Macaca fascicularis: one gene and its partner. The protein of the gene in region 2 purifies or fractionates together with the protein of the main gene of each other region. This does not show direct contact. Links are inferred from orthologs where the notes say so. Each region holds a gene or a part of one and is shown on either strand. Other genes may lie near its edges.

Region 1 (6,114 bases), on a different chromosome or scaffold from region 2:
CCAGCCTTCTCCAGCGATTGCTCAGGCCAATTTGGACTCTCCAGTCTCAGCTTCTGCCCTCTGTCCTGTCCTACCTCCGTCCCAGTGACCCCTCAAGCCAATCTCTCTTAATAGTCTCCTTTTCTCTCCACTGAGGAGTCCTTCCAACAACCTATCCTCCACCCCACTCATTACGCTCTTCCCTTCTATTTATGCCTCTTGTCCTCATGGATTCTGGAGGGGAGAAGCGGGATGTCAAAGATGAGAAGAGGGAAGAAAGGGGACAGAGAGGAAAGGGACCCAAGACCTGAACTTGAGGTGTGTTTCCTCCAGATAGTCATTCAGGACCCGCAGGTGCTGGCTCTGCCCAGAGAAGGCCTTGCCAGCCGCAGCGTGCTGTAGGAGCTGAGCCACAGCCCCCAGGGCATGGCGCTGGGGGGCAGCCAGGGTGCCACCAGCTGCCATGGCCACAATGTCGAAGGCGTCAGGAGCCACCACAGCTGGGTTCAGGAAGCGGTAGTACAGGAGGTTCCCGACCACCTGAGGGCAGAGAAGACTCTCCCAGAAGTGTCCAGGGGCCACCTTGACTGGTGCAGCCCCACATTCCCAGCTTGCTTGGCTGGAAGGGATACCTGGGCCAACCCCCTCACTTCAAAGAAAACAGGCCCAGAGCAGGCAGGCAACTTTCTCAAGGCCACACAGCAAACCTGAGCAAGAGCTGGGACTTGAACCTAGATCTCCTGACAAGAAGCCAGTGTTGCCCACTCTGTTCGCTCATGCCCCAGCGTGAGCCAGGCTCCATTTACAAGGGGCAGCATATTTCCCTCCTTGGATTTTTATGGCATAGGATTTTTTGTGTTTTTGTTTCGGTCTGAGGATCGCAGATACCAGCAAAGCAAAGGAGGGATTGGAAGGTGGGGGTGGGAAGACAACACTTGCCTTATAGACCTCGCTGTCTGTGGCGTCAGGGAATTTCTCTGCCAGAGTTGCCTTCAGGACTTTGGCCACATATCGCATCCCGTACCTGGGGACAAAGAAACAGGTGCACTGTGCCTGTGCCTCTGCCCATCTCTCTCTGCCAGATATAAGAGCTTGAGTGCATGGCTGTCTCTCCTCCCCCAGGCTCAGCCACTCCAGAGTGGAGCTCAAGCACTGTCCCTCCACTATACATAGCCACCTCCCTGCTGCCTTCCTCTGAACATCTCTGGGCCTTGTCTATCCCTCCTGCCTTGTGTCAGTAGTCAGGACCAGGGGCCTATTATCTACTAAATGTCTCACACAGCCTCCAACCTGGCTTGAGAACCTCTTCTTTGAGACTCTCTGGTCTCCCCTACAGAGCACTCCAGATCACCACAGTCATCCCCCATCCCCCAGAGGCACTGTTAACCTAAAGCTTGGGTATTTGACACTCACAGCCAAAACCCTGTCCTAGGACAGCCTAGGTGGCTCTGAGGTAGTCAACCTTGTCAGCTGTCACAGAGCACCTGTGAGTGGCCTAGTCTGGGCTAGAGGCAGGGTCCCAAGGAGATCAAGTAGCCAGGAGGAGAAGCTCCAGTTTGGACTCCACCACCAACCAGAGATATTATCTTAGGCTATTTCCTTCCCCTTTGTAAGTCTGTCCCCTGGTCTAGAAAATGGGAATGATCATTCTTGCCCTCTCTTCTCACAGGGTTTTTTGAGGATCAAGTGAAATTATGTCTGCGAGAGTAATGCATAATGGTAGAGTACTATTCAAATGTGCTAGACTTCATTATCATTATTCTTCTTATTATGGATGTGCCACCTACAAATGTAATTAAATTCGTTTAAAAGCAATTTCCCCTCCTAGGGTACCAGAGACAGAAGTTTACAGCTCATTGTGTACTTTCCTTTCTTAAGCCTAGAACAATCTTTTCTTACTCCTAATTGTAAACTCTTAATCCAGTTCTCCAGGTTTGGGGAGCAGGGTTATGAACTCTATGGGTTCCCCCTTTCAGCATCCTCATCTTGCCCTGGGCACTCCAGCCTGGGCAACAGAGTGACACCCTGTCTCAAAAATAATAAAAAATAAAGAAAAACAAACAAAAGAATGAAATCCTGCCATTTTCGACAACATAGATGAACCTAGAGGTTCGTGTTAAGTGACATAAGCCAAACACAGAAGGACGAATACTGCATGATCTCACTCATATGTGGAATCTAAAAAAGGTGATTTCACAGGAGTAGAGAGTAGAATGGTGGTTACCAGAGCCGGGGGAGGGCAGGAGAGGGGGAGAGAAGATGGGGAGAGGTTGGTCAATGGGTACAAAGTTATAGTCAGGCGGGAAGAATAAATTCTGGTGCTCTATTGCACAGGAGGTGACTATAGTTGATAATAATGTATTGTATATCTCAAAATAGCTAGAAGAGAGGATTTTGAATGTTCTCACCACAAATAAATGTTTGAGGTAATAGATATGCTAATTACCTTGATTTCATCATTCATTGCACAATGTATATATGTATCAAAACATCACACTGTACCCTATGAACATGTACAATTATTATGTGTCAAAAAATAAATGTAGAAAACCAAATGTATTGACTAAATTTAAAGAAAAGAGAGAACTATAAAGTACTTTATGGGCTTAAAATATTTATTTTTGATATTAGGATCTGAAGAGTCCCATTTTCTCCTCATTTGCTCTTAGATAATAAAGTGTCCCTGAGATCATTTTAGGGTCCCTGCTCTGGTTCCACTGACATCTTACCAGGCCACATGCAGACCTACATGCCATCTTTCAGCTCAGCTGTCTAGCAGGAGCTTGGAGCATTCCCCACATCTCTCCAGGAACCCCTCTGAGTACCCCTGGCTCTATCTCCCTCCCTGCCTTCCTCCCTGCAGGACTATCACCCTGCTCTGCTCCCCATGGTGGCCTGGCCCTCTCAAAATCCCATGTGTAGGCTGGGGTGGGGCTGTTGCACATACGGAATTTGGTCCACAGATGAAGTAATGGCTACAAGGAACTTATCAGTCATGGCGAGGAGGTTGCGTAGGGCGATATCCAGTTGTCTCTGGACCTCGGGGTGGCTCAAGGCCTGCTCCGGGGTGACATCATACGGGAGATGGCTATGAGCAGAGAGAGACAAGGTATAAACAGGAGCACCCTCCAATGGCCTCCTTCCCCAAGGCCCTATTCCTTAACCTCTTGTCTAACAACAAGATCTTATACAGATGTGCTAAGGACAGCTCAGCATGCTAAAGGAGAAAGGGCCAGAATGAGAGTAAGGACTGGAGAAATGCAATCGGGAGGTGAAGAAGAGTTGGAGTATCTACAGGGAAGCTGGAAGAATGTAGGAAGGAACAGAGAACCTGGAATCTATGGACACTTCTAAGGGGAACAGATGACAAGCAGGCGGCTGCGCTGCAAATAGTCTTTGGGAGTTTGGAATAATGGAGAGGCTGGGCCAGAGCCTTATCGTTTCCTCACTTAAAGCCTCCTGTGCCATCCAGAACAGCCACCAGGATTGCCTGCTCGCCTCCATGGCTATGTTTCCCTAGCACCTAGAGACCTGAGCAATGACCCCAGGCGATAAGGGCAACCTATTTCTCCCACTATCTCGTTTGCCTATTCATCTATAAATAGAAATATTCATCTATACCCCTATAAATAGGAGTCCATGTCCTAACTCCCAGCAATTTTTTTTTGGTAGGGGGGACAGAGTCTCACTCTATTGCCCAGAGCTGGAGTGCAGTGGCACGATCTTAGCTCACCGCAACCTCTGCCTCCCAGGTTCAAGTGATTCTCTTGCCTCAGCCTCCCGAGTAGCTGGGACTACAGGAGTACGCCACAACACAAGGTTAATTTTTGTATTTTTAGTAGAGATGGGGTTTCACCATGTTGGCCAGGCTAGTCTCAAACTCCTGACCTTAGGTGATCCGCCCACCTTGAGCCCCCAAAGTGCTGGGATTACAGGCGTGAGCCACTGGGCCCAGCCCTACTGCCAGCAAATTTGACACATCATTTGCAAGCACTGACATAGCAATTAAGCACATTTGCATATTCATCTGTACTCATTTTAGTTAAGCCCACCAGGTCTGGAGTCATTTACATTAGTTTCATGTTAATTATCAGAGGGGGTCTAAAAGACTACCTTATTCATGCCTAAAAAGCTGGTATCATATTTGCATAAATCAGCACGCCCATTTATATGCCACCTTCAAAGTACCCCCAAGCTTCCCCAGTAGGGTCGAGACACAGCTGATCAAAAAGAGCTCTCCCTCTGCCCATGTGCTCACCTGCGCTGCCCTGTCTGGGCCTCAGTCTGGTTGATCCAGTTCTTATAGAGGTGGACAGGGTCTGTGTGGACGCTGAGCACTTTGTCCTCTAGCACATCCTGGATAACCTTGCCCAGAATCTCCTGCAGGGCACTCTGTCCCCGCCCATTGCGGTAGAATCTCACCACCAGCCTCACCACTGTTGGGTTGCCTGTCACCACGTCCTGGGGCTGCTCCACCTTTGACCTGTGGTTTAAGAGGTCATTGAAGCTAGTCTTCTGCCTCTGTGTAGGACAAACCGTTACTTTTCCTTTTTGAGATTTTGGCTCTCAAAGCCTGCCCTGGTGTCCCTGCTCTTAAGGAATGTCTTGATATCTCTCTCATCCTTTGTGTTAGCATGTCAGCCCATATCCTCCCACTGTGCTGTCCCAGATGTTTTACAGTTTCTCCACAGGAGGCAGAGAACAGAGGTCTTCTGATTCCATTTCTACCCTTAAGCCTCAACAAGCTGTCACCTTGTGAAGAAGCCAACAGGGGCATCTCTTAACCCATTCTCTCCCCATTCCTTTGTGTCTGGAGAGCCTACTTGACTTCCTCCTGGAGTGCTGTCTTGAACAGCTGGAGCAGGAGATAGGCCTCTCGGCGGCTGGAGGCATAGTTGTACAGGCTGAAAATCACTGCCTCCATGAACTTGGTGGTTTTGTTCTGTGGCATCTGAAAGATCAGCTTGGCCAGGTAGATGGGCTGAGTCTGCAAGCAAGAGGGGAGACAGGAATGGCTGACCATGTACTTCAAGGACCAGTGATAGGATAAAGAAAAGTTTTCCCTCGATGGAAATCTGGAATGGAGAAAGCACTACCACACTTTCTCCAGGTGCTAGTGACATTCCAGACAAACAGGGGAAGAGGTAGTCTCTTTTCCTGGGGATAAGGAATTAAGATTATGGGAAAGGACACCTTGCATGGTGTCAAAGGCACAAACAAGAAGGCCTTGAAGTCTCAGACCCTCAGGAGATGGGAGAGACTTCTCCTTGGAAAGTCCTCTGCTAACCTGGAGCAGGTAGAAGAGGTGTTGGTATGCTTCTAGTTTCTGCCGTTTCTCTTTGCTCAGTGACTTTAATCCCTTCTGCTTGTCCAGAACCATCATATCCGACAGCTGTTCCTTATTCCTCTTGGTCAGCTTCTTGCAGTGGGAGACCACTTCCTGCAGGGGTGGAGGAATGGGTGATACAACCAGCCTAGGCCATCCCAGGGCACAGAACGTATGGTCCAGAATCAGTGCCTTGAAGAGCCAGGGCTTTCTGCTGTTCAAGGAACAGGCATAAGCTGGGGGAGAGAAGCAGTTCTAGGGTGAGGAAGGGCCCCTCCTAGTGCCCTGAGACCCCATCTGGTTCCTCTCCTGTCATGGGAGTGAGTCTCCAAAGAGAATTGGGTTGCCAGGCTGAGGAATTGTGTCTATTTGGCTTTTGCTATCACTTCTTATTAGACTGCTACACACATTTGAGGTGGAGCTATCACTATGTCACTATTACCCTGTCACTGCATATTTGTATGGTAATTTATGATTTAAAGAGCTTTCTTATCTATCTCTATATTTGGCCTGGAGAGGCGGACATTCTCATTATTCCCAGTTTGCTAATGAGAAAACAGACTTAGAAGTGAAATGAGCACCCACAGCCCCATCCCTAGGAATCAGCAGAGCCGGGCATTCTGATTTTAGGTCTCATGCTCTTTCTACTCTGTCATGGGTCCCCCGAAATGATTTATTAGAATGGCAGAGGGCCACTGGAACAAGGAACTGAGTCAGGTGATAAAATCCACACCATTTTGAAAAAATTGATTAGCAAACAGAGAATGGTCAGCATCACATCTCCAGAGGTAGACAGATCTGGGGAAGGG
Region 2 (6,114 bases):
GCGGATCACGAGGTCAGGAGATCAAGACCATCCTGGCTAATACAGTGAAACCCAGTCTCTACAAAAATATAAAAAATTAGCCAGGCGTGGTGGTGGGCGCCTGTAGTCCCAGCTACTCGGAAGGCTGGCTGACACAGGAGACTGGCGCGAACCCGGGAGGTGGAGCTTGCAGTGAGCCAAGATCGCAGCACTGCACTCCAGCCTGGGCGAGAGAGTGAGACTCCATCTCAAAAAAAATAAATAAATAAAAATAAAAAACAAAATTAGCCAGACATGGTAGTGCATGCCTGTAGTCTCAGCTATGTGGGGGACTAGGGTGGGAAAGTCGCCTGAACCTGGGAAGCGGAGGTTGCAGTGAGCCAAGATCACACCACTGCACTCCAGCCTGGGCAACAAGAGCGAAACTCCGTCTCAAAAAGACAAACTTTTAGCATAGCAAGAAAATGAAACAATTGGCATGACGCACTGGGGTCCTGGCTGACCCCAACATGGAGGCTCAGCATCTCAGCGAACCCGCCACACAGCCTGAGTCTCAGGACACGCACAGGGCTCAGGACTCGTTGTGACACTGACAGGTTACTTAGGCTCCCGCTCACACCAGCAATCCTGGTGCAAGCAGGCAAATAAATACAGGGGATCTACACAAGGGAAGATGCTGAACCTGAGCATCACTCTGACAAGACTTGGTTCTGTGCATGCCAACTGAAGATGAGTATGCAGAACTTAGGAAAGACTTTCAAGAGAAAATAATTTAACGATTATTTCGAGAAAATAAAAACCTGAGGGCAATTTCAACTGAGAATGGCGACTACCTCCTCACCATCTTTTGGAGAACGAAGAAACGAATAGTCTGAACAGACTTAGCCAGACAGAGCTACCCAACAGAGAAGGATGCCAACGTGAAATGACCACAGGAAATGTAATATCTCTTTTAGGACGCCCTAGGTAAGAAATCTTCCAACTGGTCCTTCAGGAGTGTGTCTAAGCAGTCTTGGATGAGCTACATAAACAGGTCTGCAGATCACAGAGCCAGCAACCAGGGACCACATTCCATTTAGTACAAAATTTAGAGGTTTCACCTGTATCCACAAGAGACCCAGGTGCCAGCATGTTGCTCCCAGATCCTGTTCTTCTTAGCACCGTGTGGCCCAAAGGGATGAGGCCTTCCAGACACTGGTGTCTGAGCATTTGTGGCCTGCCCTGAGTTGTCAAGATAATTTCCTTATCTCTGAAGGAGTCCGGGCAGGAAGCCTTCCACTGCTGGGTGGGTGCTCGTTCCTCTTGCTCCTTAAGCGCCCCGTTCACCCCCTTGCTGGTACAGGGTGTATTACATGATTTATGGTACTTTTCCGTGAACTGCCTGAGGGCAAGAACCATGTCTCACTCCCTTCTTGCTCTTCAAATATTTTCTAGGAAAGCAGTCCATGGTCTCACACAGAGGAGACATGAAGTTTAAGTGCTAGCCCTATGAGGACACCTGCTTTCATACCAGGCCTCACACTCTACAGCTTTGTTCAAGCTGAGGAGAGTTCTCCTTCCTCATCTGTTGTTCCTCAGAACACAAAGTGGGACTCCTGCCAAGTCACCCTTGACTTACTGTGAGGCGTCCCTTAGAGAAAGGCCGCGCCCTGCCCGGTACCCCCTGAGTCACAGCAGGGTGGCTCTCATTTCTCAGAATGACACCACACCCTTCCACATGTGTCCAGTGGGCTGGAGACTCCTACTCTACCAGTCAGTATGTTTTTAAATCCATTTACAATCTGAATCAGTAAACATCCACTGGGTATAGTTTCCTAAGGTACTGAGAAGAATTTGAATTGTCTGGGGATTATAGACTGATTGTTAATACAGTAGATTTAACTACTAAGTTATTTCATCCATAATACCCCCTAAAACCACAGGCTGCCTCATCATCAATCGGGGCTCAAAGCCAGCCTTTCTCTAGGAAGTCTTCCTCACCTCAATTCAACCCCAAACCCCAATCCCTCCGGCCAATCCAGGTTTGCCGAGCACCCACACAACTGCCACTCGTTTGGGCACAACGTGGAGAGCAGCGCTCTCTAGGCTGACCCACCCGCACACTCAGGAGCAGGAGAATTCTGACAGCGGCTGGCCCGCAGTGTGTGCTGTGTGCCCAGGACTGCTAGGGGTGCGTGACATGTACTCATCTCACCCTACGAGGACACAGGCAAAGACTGGAGAGAGGAAGAGGCCTGCCTGAGGTCACAGAGCTAGGATAGGACATGCACACAGGATATCCACCCAAGGAATCTCAAGCATATTTAAGTTTTGCTTCCAAAGACACTTTTAAAAATGAAGAACAAACATGTAACAAGATCAGCAAAAGATACACAAGTAAAACAACTGCTTAAAGAAAAGTAACTTTTAACCACAACAATGTCTTCTAAGTACCCATTTTCACCAGCTACTGCTCTAATTAGCTTTGATAAATAAATCACTTTTGTCTGATACAGAAAAAAAAACTAAACTTTTTTTTCTGATTGGACACAGTGGATACATTTTACAAAACCAAAACCTCAATCTACATTGAATAGATTTAGGTTCTATAGCCATACAAATTATGTATTTTGTGGGAAAAAATGCATTAAACCTGTAAGATTAGTTACTAACTTGGTTTAAAGAAACCCGAATCTTAACTGCTTAATTTGATTCTGCGGTACAAAACTGTCACACAGCAAACTTGTCTTCAAACCAATTGGTGTTAAAAACTGATTTGCAAAAACAAAACAAAACAAAAAGCACCTTTCATACGGTTATTCTGAAGCTAAATGGAAGACTGTAAAATGCCCAACAATGGAACAGCTGTTAACGCTCAAAACACAAAACCCCTGCCATCTAGGGGGATGTTTATACGGAACTAATTCCGCCCCGTCTGCTATTTACTCAATATCCAAATGATGGCAATATAAGCAAGTCCACAGGTAACATGCACTAATTAAACGCTCGAGAATTATATACTCTAAAAAAGACACATTAAAAATCAGCTGCAATCCTTACTGTTTGCGGATAGGATAGGGGGCGTAATCTGTCATAATCTTCTTGTCCAGCTGTATCCCATAAGCCCAGATTCACCGGTTTTCCATCTACCATAACATTGGCAGAGTAATTGTCAAAGCTGTAGAACGGAATGAAAATGGTTAGTCACAGATGTGGAACCTAAGTCACTGTCCTGGCCATCCTAGAGAAGGTGTGCCAAGAAAAAGGGTGGGGACGGGCCTGGAGGATGCCACACCAGCAATGTCTCTGCAGGCACGAGGAGGAAGGAGGCAGGGGCAAAACTCACGGGAAACAAACCCAACCCAAAACTTGAGAAAGAAAAATGAAAGAAACAAACAACAAGCTATTTAAGTGAAACAAATCACTGTCAGAAATACATACACTTCACTTTAAACAAAGTTTAAGACTTTTATCCCAGGAAGAAGTAAGTGTAAAATTAGCCCCGCTTTCAAATCCTCCTTGTTGGGTTTTTCATGTACTTATGTCACTCATTTTCAACAAGAGAGCTGGCCACTAGAGCTACCCTCTGCAGGGTTTCCAGAAGGCCTGAGTGTAGAACAGTAACACAAAAGACACTTGCCTTAACAAGCCTCCCAATAACATTTTCAAAGTGAGTGTACCTGATGACACAAATATTTAAATTCATGTGAAGTTGGCCGGGCACGGTGGCTCTTGCCTGTAATCCCAGCACTTTGGGAGGCCGAGGCGGGCGGATCACGAGGTCAGGAGATCCAGACCATCCTGGCTAACACGGTGAAACCCCGTCTCTACTAAAAATACAAAAAATTAGCCGGGCGTGGCGGCGGACACCTGTAGTCCCAGCTACTCGGGAGGCTGAGGCAGGAGAATGGCGTGAACCCGGGAGGCGGAGCTTGCAGTGAGCCAAGATCACACCATTGCACTCCAGCCTGGGCGACACAGCGAGACTCCGTCTCCCAAAAAAAAAAAAAAAAAAAAAAAAAACAAATTCACATGAAGTTGCTACACAAATTAGTCAGGAGAGGTAACCCAGCAAAGCCTACAGGCTGACAGAAGGAAATCGGACCCAAGTTAAAAACTGCTACTGGTCAGCAGAAACCAAGCTTTAGAAAAGAATAGTGTTTCCTCTGGACAGGAAGGCAAAAAAGAAAAGGAAAAATACAATAAAAAGCAGAGGCTGGGCACGGTGGCTCACGCCTGTAATCCTAACACTTTGGAAGGCCGAGGTGGGTGGATCACCTGAGGTCAGGAGTTTGAGACCAGCCTGGCCAACATGAAGAAAACCCTGTCTCTACTAAAACTGCAAAAATTAGCCGGGGCGTGGTGGCGGGTGCTTGTAATCCCAGCTACTTGGGAGGCTGAGGCAAGAGAATCACTTGAACCCGGGAGGCAGAGGTTGCAGTGGGCCAAGATCACATCATCGCTCTCCAACCTGGGCAACAAGAGCAAAACTTTGTCTCAAAAAAAAAAAAAAAAAAAAAGGAAGAAGAAAGAAAGAAAAGGTGATAGTGACAGACATGGTAATTATGCTTCCATAAGAAAAAGATTATAGGATAGGCCGGGCGTGGTGGCTCAAGCCTGTAATCCCAGCACTTTGGGAGGCCGAGGCGGGCGGATCACGAGGTCAGGAGATCCAGACCATCCTGGCTAACATGGTGAAACCCCGTCTCTACTAAAAATACAAAAACTTAGCCGGGTGAGGTGGCAGGCACCTGTACTCCCAGCTACTCGGGAGGCTGAGGCAGGAGAATGGCGTGAACCCGGGAGGCGGAGCTTGCAGTGAGCTGAGATCCGGCCACTGCACTCCAGCCTGGGTGACAGAGCGAGACTCCATCTCAAAAAAAAAAAAAAAAAAAAAAAAGATTATAGGATAAATGGTATTGTGACTTTCTTTCCCCTATAAGGGAAAAAGAATCAGGTCCTTGCCTCGTTCTATACCAAAAATAAATTCTAAATGGATTAAAGATAAAAATTTTAGCCACAAAAAACCTAGAAAAAATACTAGAGCATACTTTTGCATTATTTAAGTAGGAAAGGCCTTTCTAAGATACAACATACAATTCTGAGGGAGAGGTGGTATTATTACTATTATTTTATTTTTTTTTTGAGACAGAATCTCACTCTGTCACCCAGGCTGGAGTGCAGTGGCGCGATCTTGGCTCACTGCAACCTCCGCCTCCCGGGATCAAGCGATTCTCCTGCCTCAGCCTCCTGAGGAGCTGGGATTACAGGTGTGCACCACCACGCCCAGGTAATTGTTGTATTTTAGTAGAGATGGGGTTTCACCATGTCGATCAGGCTGGTCTCAATCTGACCTCGTGATCCACCTGCTTCAGCCTCCCAAAGTGCTGGGATTAAAGGCATGGGCCACCACGCCCAAGTGATGTGGTATTATTTACATTAAATGCTAAATTTCTATACGGCAGAAGACACCACAATGAAGATCAAAGACAAATGACAGACTGAGAAGGATTATTTACGAAACGTTCCATCAGGCCACGTGCAGTGGAGCATGACTATAGTCTAGCTACTCAATCGGCTGAGGTGGAAGGACCAGCAGTTCAAGTCCAGCCTGGGCAATACTGCAAGATCCCATCTCAAAAAAAAAAAAAGAAAAGAAAAGAAAAGGGAAAAGAAAGGAGAAGGAAGGAGGGAAGGAGGGACAGAGGGAGTGGGGAGGGAAAGAAGGAAATGTTCCATCAGTAAGAAAAAATTTCGGTCGGGCGCGGTGGCTCAAGCCTGTAATCTCAGCACTTTGGGAGGCCGAGACGGACGGATCATGAGGTCAGGAGATCGAGACCATCCTGGCTAACACAGTGAAACCCCGTCTCTACTAAAAACTACAAAAAACAGCCGGGCGCGGTGGCTCAAGCCTGTAATCCCAGCACTTTGGGAGGCTGAGACGGGCGGATCACAAGGTCAGGAGATCGAGACCATCCTGGCTAACACGGTGAAACCCCGTCTCTACTAAAAAATACAAAAAACTAGCCGGGCGAGGTGGCGGGTGCCTGTGGTCCCAGCTACTCTGGAGGCTGAGGCAGGAGAATGGTGTAAACCCGGGAGGTGGAGCTTGCAGTGAGCTGAGATCCGGCCACTGCACTCCAGCCTGGGCGACAG

What was found. Proteins that work in one complex are often made in the same cells at the same time.
Region 1: the proteins of RAC1 (region 2) and IQGAP3 purify together in Homo sapiens (affinity purification with mass spectrometry; 3 studies listed by BioGRID and IntAct, with this or other methods). This does not show direct contact. The link is inferred for Macaca fascicularis from reciprocal best matches to the Homo sapiens genes RAC1 and IQGAP3.

The regions. Positions count from the first base shown.
Region 1 is NC_088375.1:104,535,693-104,541,806, reverse strand, and holds part of IQGAP3 (ras GTPase-activating-like protein IQGAP3), read right to left. Parts: intron 5,420-6,114; coding exon 5,267-5,419; intron 4,967-5,266; coding exon 4,803-4,966; intron 4,463-4,802; coding exon 4,238-4,462; intron 3,068-4,237; coding exon 2,927-3,067; intron 1,004-2,926; coding exon 919-1,003; intron 520-918; coding exon 287-519; intron 1-286.
Region 2 is NC_088377.1:45,972,996-45,979,109, forward strand, and holds part of RAC1 (ras-related C3 botulinum toxin substrate 1), read right to left. Parts: intron 3,137-6,114; coding exon 3,019-3,136; intron 1-3,018. UniProt on the Homo sapiens protein: Plasma membrane-associated small GTPase which cycles between active GTP-bound and inactive GDP-bound states.